Mus musculus: one gene and its partner. The protein of the gene in region 1 interacts with the protein of each later gene in a pairwise test. Links are inferred from orthologs where the notes say so. Each region holds a gene or a part of one and is shown on either strand. Other genes may lie near its edges. The genes, in order: Sec23b and Hoxa3.

Region 1 (3,816 bases):
CTCAAGTGAACACATAGAATAAATTCTCAGCTTGCGGTGATCAAGAACCTCGGGCTCCTGGGAAATGATTAGGAGTGTTCTTTGGCTTTCTTCAGACCCTCTCCATCCAGAGCTCTTGGGGAGCAGTGCTCTAGATTTGGGTGCTCTTGAACGTGCAAGAAGCACTGAGGTGGATCCCTGAGTCTGATGCTCAGCTGCACATTAGTGTCGCCTAGGGAACTCTGGTGAAAGGACAATGAGAGAAGCCGCTGTGTCTGTCATGTTCTCCACCCCCAGCCCCCTACAGCCTAATGCAATGGACACGGATCGTGGCTTGGGTATCAGCATTCTTCAGTTTCCCTCCAGTGATTCTAATATAGAACAGTTTGAGCACACACAGCCTTAGTTTCTCTAGGGTCCTCTTAGCCCTCATTTCCCACTTGCTGAATCGAAACCTACATTTGCCCAAGATCCTATGGACTGGAATACAATGCACAGTTCGAGGAGCCATAGCTACAGAGAGCCATGTGTGGGGCTGGAGATTCTGTAGCTCTTTTCCCTTTAACTTAAATTTTGTTTATGTGTGTGTGTGTGTGTGTGTGTGTGTGTGTGTGTGTGTGTGTGAAAGAGAGAGAGAGAGAGAGAGCATAAGAGAGAGAGAGAGCCATGTAGACATGTAGAGGTCAGAGGACACTGGGAGTTAGTTATCTTAGTTATCTTTCTTTACTGTGTGGAACTCAGATTGAACTTTGGTTGCTTGGTGGCAAGCACTTTACTTGTTGAACCAACTCCTGGTCCATACTTCTGCCTTTCTAATCAACCTCTGTAGTGATTCTTCTCTGCTCTCTTAGGGGAGGGCATAGAAGATAGGATCTAAGTCATTTGAAACTGTTTGGGAGTGGGTCAGATGTACTAGAGATGGTGGGCATACCTGTAACACCAATACTCTGGAGGATCTTGTGATCAAGGCTAGCCTGGGCTGTATAGCAAGAAGTTGTCTTTAAAAAGAAAAGCCCCCTTACCAAAAGAAAACAAAAAAGAATAGCACAAGTGCTAGCAAGATGGCTCAGTAGGCGGCTGGAGAGATGGTTCAAGGGTTAAGAGGACTGACTTCTCTTCTGGAGGTCCTGAGTTCAACTCCTAGCAACCACATGGTGGCTCACAACCATCTGTAATGGAATCTGATGCCCTCTCCTGGTGTGTCTGAGGACAGCTACAGTGTACTCACATACATAAAATAAATAAATAAATAAATAAATAAATAAATATTTTAAATAAATAAATAAATAAAAACGATGGCTCAGCAGAGAAAGGTACCTGTCTGCCACCAAGTCTGAGACATTTAGTCCCTGGTCCTCATACGTGGAAGGAGACAACCAACTCCTGCAGGTTGTCCTCTGACCTCTGTACCCTCCATGGCATATGTACACCCACACATAAACTTACTACACACATATGTGGAGATGGACACATGTAATGAGGTGTGTGGTGGGGGGAGGGAACACTAAAACAGCCTTGAAAACAACAGAAGTCCAGGTTCTGGTCTAGGAGGATGAATGCAGGCAAAGTCACAGTGACCCCAGCCTGGACTAGAGGGTAGTAGATGGTTTTCCTGGAAAATCACTGGGGAACCCTTAGTGCTGGGTTTTTCTGCTGAGATAGTATGCTTTTTCTTTTAACCATTCAATTTGGGGGCTGGGGTGGACGTAAGTACGTACATACATACATACATACATACATACATACGTATGTGATGACCTAGAGACACCTGATGGGGAGGAAGGAAATGCTGGTGACTGCTAAAATATTTTAGGTGAAGAATTCTAAGAAAGAGAGATAACCCAAAAATACTCCCCAGCTGCAGTTCATGTGTGCATGTGTGTGCGTGTGCGTGTGTGTGTGTGTGTGTGAGAGAGAGAGAGAGAGAGAGAGAGAGAGAGAATGAATCAGTAAGTTATTTTTGCTGAAGAGTTTGTTGATTGAAGGGGCATTGTTTGTTTAAGGTCTTACTGTGTAGCCCTGGATGGCCACAAGCTTACAATTCTTCTGCTTCAGCCTCCTAAGTTCTGGAGAATAGGAGTATACCACCTATTGGAATGATTATAGGTTCATGGGACTAGTGAATGTGAAGGGAGTGTAGAGGAGGTCTTTACATTCCTCATTTGGCATCCCCGAGGGTAGCACTTAAGCCAAATGTATCATTCAGCTTCAAGAATGGAAATGGCACAGTGCAGTTACTAAAACTGCAGACTGTGGGTTTCCTGCAGACTGGTGCTTGTTTTATTTCTCTGTGAGTATAACCAGCAAGATTTTACTATCTCTGTACATTTGTGTATGGTGATTAAAATATAGAATTGGCATCTTAAACGATTTTTACATCTACTTCTTTTGTATGTGTTTATGTGTGTGTATGTATGTGGATGCACATACATGCTATGGGACTTGTATGGAAGTCAGGGCCACCTGTGGGGAGCTGGTTCCTCTTCTCTACCATGTGGGTCCTAGGATTGATTGAACTGAAGTTACCAGGCTTAGTGGTGCCCTTACCCACCGAGGCACCTTCTCACCCCCCTAGAACTGTTCTAAGGGTTCTTTAATGTTTTCGAGATGGTTTCTTCCCTAAGTACAAATAGAACTTGTTGTTTTTCATTTAAGTTAATCAGTAGCATCTGTGCGGACATGGCGCTCTCCCCCCTCCCCACCCCCCCACCCCCATGCGTGTGTGTGTGTGTGTGTGTGTGTGTGTATGTGTGTAAATTGTTTGTGAATCTTAAGGGAACAACCAAATGACTTCCAATCCTTTTAAATGTATACTTTCTTCCTTTCTTATCTAGAGGCCACATGGTGATGGGAGATTCTTTCAACACTTCTCTTTTCAAGCAGACATTCCAAAGAATTTTTAGTAAAGACTTCAACGGAGATTTCAGAATGGCGTTTGGTGCTACGTTGGATGTAAAGGTGCAGTGGGCTTTTAGAAAAGTTGTATTTTAACTATCTTATATAATTAGCTTATAGAACTTTCCTATGTCCATGATAAATATTTATTTATTTATTATTTATCTGAGTCAGGGTCTCACTGTGTGTACCTTCAGCTGACTTGTAATCACTATATAGACCAGGCTGGCCTCAGACTCTGTGCTGCACTGTACTCATCCATATTACAGACATTTGAAACTTCACTGGCATTAGTGTGGTTCAGTTCAGACACTGCAGCCTAGGCTGCTAGACGTAAGCTTTAATGACCACTTAAAAGGATCCAACCAGATGGTTATCACAAAGTTTGCTTCTCAAGGGTTACCCATGTGTTTATTAAAGTCCTAAACAGAAAGTTCCTCTTTCCCCCCAGGCCCGGCTCTGTTCCACCCTGGTTTAGGATAGGGAGAGTTAGTGGGGTTTGGGGTGGGCGTTGGTTGCTGTACTGGGGCTTGATGACAGGCAAGTCACACGTGGTCAGTATCCACCCAGCTATAGGTGTGAGCCACTGCACTGCAGAGTGGGATTTAGATTTAAGAGGAACTCAGGTGTTCTGATACTGTGTGGGAAATCAGGGTCCTAGACAGCAGACTCTTAAGTAATTGAGAAACCAAGAAAAGGGGCTGTTAGGAACTTGATTAGAGAATTAGAGAAAAGCATTAAATTATCTAGGGTAAGCTTTACGCAGCATTTTTATATGTCTAAGGGGTCTGCTTGATTGCTTACTTAGCAGAGGTGGAGGTTGTTAGAGAAAGGGCTAGGGAGCTGGCTCAGACGATGTAGCATCTGCTGCTCAAGCATCTGTGCCTTGAGGTAGTTCTCCAGCATCTATGTAAAAGCATAAGAGGAATGGACTGAGCACAC
Region 2 (3,569 bases), on another chromosome or scaffold:
AGCTCCACGCTCCAAGCCACTTCTAGCTATTACAGCCAGCCTAGGAGGAGAGAAACATCTCCAGAAATGTGCCCTCCCCGCCCCCCCCCCCCACACACACCAGGGAAAACAAATCTTTCCAGAATCTTTGCTACTTAGGAAGGTGATACGGTTACTGTGAGAGGATCCCTCAGACATAAATCTGACTGAAGTCCCTCTGGGCCTCTCTAAGGCGGTTTGAGCCTGGTGAAGTTGGAATCCCTCCTTGTTCCAGTGTTGGGAATTCTGACCTCTAGATAGAACCATCTTTAGGACCACTGTCTCTCTAAGCACACAACTCCTTTTTTCCTGGGCAAACAGTGGCATCCTCCCCATACTGAAACGTGGCAGAATAAAAGCAGGCCCACTCATCCCCCGGGTCAGAATCAATGCTTGGTCTATGATCAGAGCCAATGTTTTCTGCAGCAGATGGACTGGCTGCCTTACTTCTGGGAAGGCCTTGCTCAGTCTTAGTACAATGCAGGAGGCAGCCGGGCATCCCCTGGGGGAGGGGATTCGGCTTGTCATCCTAATGGGAACCACATGGGGCTTTGGGAACTGGACTCCAGTGGGGGAGCCTTAGCCTCAGGGACTTGGGTTTCCAAGCCTCTAGGTTACCTTGGCCCCTTCCTCTCTGGTTTCCTTTGCTCTCTCCTCCAGAACTGGTATTTGGGAAGCCAAGGAGGACAGGAGGCACAAATGCAATGGTCCAAATTGGGGCAGCCTTCATGGTGACATTGAGAACCAAATGACCAAGACTCTGTAAGGGTCTGGTAGCTAGAACTAGGTATCTCCAGTGAGGTCTAGTCTCCTTTGGTCAGAGAAGGCCTTCCAGTTTGACAATACCAATCTGTTACTCTTTTCTTGGGAGATACTGAAAAACTGGTTAGTAGAAGCTAATGGCTGGTCACACAGGCAGGATGCATGCATACACTAGGTCTCCTACATTTTCCAGCGACTGAAGGAATCAAGATAGTGGCACCCGCTCACAGGAAGCTTGTTGTCTGATGGGCCAGGAAATAAGCTGGCCGAGTAAAATAGAGAGGAAGTTCAGGCCAGCAAGGCAAGCAGGAGGCTCTGCAGCTCTGTCCTCTCCTTGAAGAAGCCCCTGATTCGCTCCTTAGAGGAAGGAAGGGCAGGCTAACCAGGCTGTTTCCGCAGACCAAGAGAGGACCACAGCACTGAAGTCCTGCTCCTCTCTGGCCTTGGACAGAGGCTTCTGTGGGGTGAAGAAAGGAGGGGCAGGCCTAGGACTGGGGAGCTAGGCGGGGTCGGTAGCAGCCCCTGACACCGCTCTTCCTCTCTGTGTCCTGGCAGGGGAGAGCTGCGCTGGTGACAAGAGCCCGCCTGGGCAGGCCTCGTCCAAGCGCGCGCGCACGGCGTACACGAGCGCGCAGCTGGTAGAGCTGGAGAAGGAGTTCCACTTCAACCGCTACCTATGCCGGCCGCGCCGGGTGGAGATGGCCAACCTGCTGAACCTCACCGAGCGCCAGATCAAGATCTGGTTCCAGAACCGCCGCATGAAGTACAAGAAAGACCAGAAGGGCAAAGGCATGCTGACCTCGTCTGGGGGCCAGTCCCCAAGTCGGAGCCCTGTGCCTCCCGGTGCAGGAGGCTATCTGAATTCTATGCATTCGCTGGTCAACAGTGTCCCATATGAGCCCCAGTCACCCCCTCCTTTCTCCAAGCCTCCCCAAGGCGCCTATGGGTTGCCTCCGGCCTCCTACCCTGCTCCCCTGCCCAGCTGCGCTCCCCCACCTCCCCCACAGAAACGCTACACAGCGGCGGGGTCAGGCGCAGGGGGCACCCCTGACTACGACCCGCATGCTCACGGCCTGCAGGGCAATGGCAGCTATGGGACCCCACACTTACAGGGAAGCCCCGTCTTCGTAGGGGGCAGCTATGTGGAGCCCATGAGCAACTCTGGGCCACTCTTTGGCCTAACTCACCTCCCCCACACCACCTCGGCTGCCATGGACTACGGGGGCACTGGGCCGCTGGGCAGCGGACACCACCATGGGCCGGGGCCTGGGGAGCCACACCCCACCTACACGGACCTTACTGCCCACCATCCTTCTCAGGGAAGAATTCAGGAAGCGCCCAAGCTCACCCACCTGTGATGATGGGCCCAGGGCTGTGAGCCAGGAGAGTTGCCCACCCGACCTTCTTTGGTTACTTTTTCCTTTTTTTGTTTTGTTCTATGTTCTTGCCTTTCCCTTTTCTCCTCTGCACCCCTCCCTCATTTTGTTTTCTTTGGTAATGCGTTTTTATAGTTTATGTGACGTAGCAATCTTGGTTGCTGGAAAGGCTGTCAGTATCAGTAGCAACATTTACCACCACCCCTCCTCGCCCTGGCCTCTGGCCCTGCATCCTTTTCCTTCTCTACTCTTTGATAAGAAACAGGGTATATGAACAAACTTTCTAGTCGAGTTTTCAATGTGAATTTGTTCATACTTTATGGCTCCCGAGAGGAAGCAACTGCGTTTTTTTTTTTTAAGTTTTAGTTTTTAAAATTGCACTTCTTGTACTGATCGAGAAAAAGAAATCAAAGGCGCTTTGAAACAGGGACTCCCTGTGCAAAGATGACTACGTGTACGTCTTTCCGTGTGTGTGTGCTTGTGAACAGTCAGATTTATTTATATTTTTTGCAAGCATTGAATAGTCTAAGTTTTAAATATTATTTATCCCCATCCGTTCGTATTTATATTAAAGAAATTCTGTACCCTGATTGTTCAGAAGGTTTCTTGAGCCTTTTGTTCAATGGTGTATTGGCATACATATAAAATTTATTTGAAAGGGAAATAAAATTCCTTTATTAAAAACCGTAGCAATGCAATAAGAACAGAGAGGACCCAGAGTTTGAAAATAGTGGTTTAGGTTTGTAACATCTGGCCAAACTGAACGCTAAAAATGCTAGATTTGTTTTGAGAGTTTTACATTCCTTGCTGCTCACATTCTGAGAAACAAAACAAAAAAAATAAAGTTTTTATTCTGATTACGATCCGTGTCAAAGGGGGTTCTTTGGCTGGACACGGGTCTCTGCGTGGAGTTCTGGCAGAAGCGAACTGTCAGCGGCTGCGGCAGCACCGCGACTCTGGCGTGAGGCCTGGTCCAGCGTCTGCCTTGGAAGCTCGGCGAGTTCTGGGGATAGAGGCCGCGGTTTCAAGTGGCTGCCGCAGCTCGGGAAATGCCAGGCTCCCGGCCCGCTGAGCTGCCTGGTTCCCAGCTGCCGCCCAAGCAGGGCGCCAGGCTGCTAAGTGCAGAGCGGCCTGGCAGAAACAAAGGCGGCCGGCCTCGGGCTCAGCGGGGGGCGCACAGGTGCGGGACGCCGACACCAAGAACCCGGGGCTCCTCTCCATTCCCCCGCACCGAAAGCCCATCGGCCAAGGCCTCAACCTTGGAACCGCACAAGGTCTTAAGCTCTTCCCACAAGCTATCGAATTCCAGGTCTCCACTGAGGATGCTTCGCGGTTCATTATCACGCCTAAAGAAGATGGGGGGGACGGGACTCTTCTAAATTCACCTCAAAAGGGACCTACTCTCCCTTAGGT

What was found.
Region 2: the proteins of Sec23b (region 1) and Hoxa3 interact in binary tests that used the Homo sapiens proteins (3 or more experiments, as listed by UniProt). The two-hybrid records come from large-scale screens. The link is inferred for Mus musculus from reciprocal best matches to the Homo sapiens genes SEC23B and HOXA3.

What each region holds. Positions count from the first base shown.
Region 1 is NC_000068.7:144,569,666-144,573,481, forward strand, and holds part of Sec23b (protein transport protein Sec23B), read left to right. Parts: intron 1-2,813; coding exon 2,814-2,937; intron 2,938-3,816. UniProt on the Homo sapiens protein: Component of the coat protein complex II (COPII) which promotes the formation of transport vesicles from the endoplasmic reticulum (ER).
Region 2 is NC_000072.6:52,168,509-52,172,077, reverse strand, and holds the end of Hoxa3 (homeobox protein Hox-A3), read left to right. Parts: intron 1-1,335; coding exon 1,336-2,138; 3' UTR 2,139-3,016; downstream 3,017-3,569. UniProt on the Homo sapiens protein: Sequence-specific transcription factor which is part of a developmental regulatory system that provides cells with specific positional identities on the anterior-posterior axis.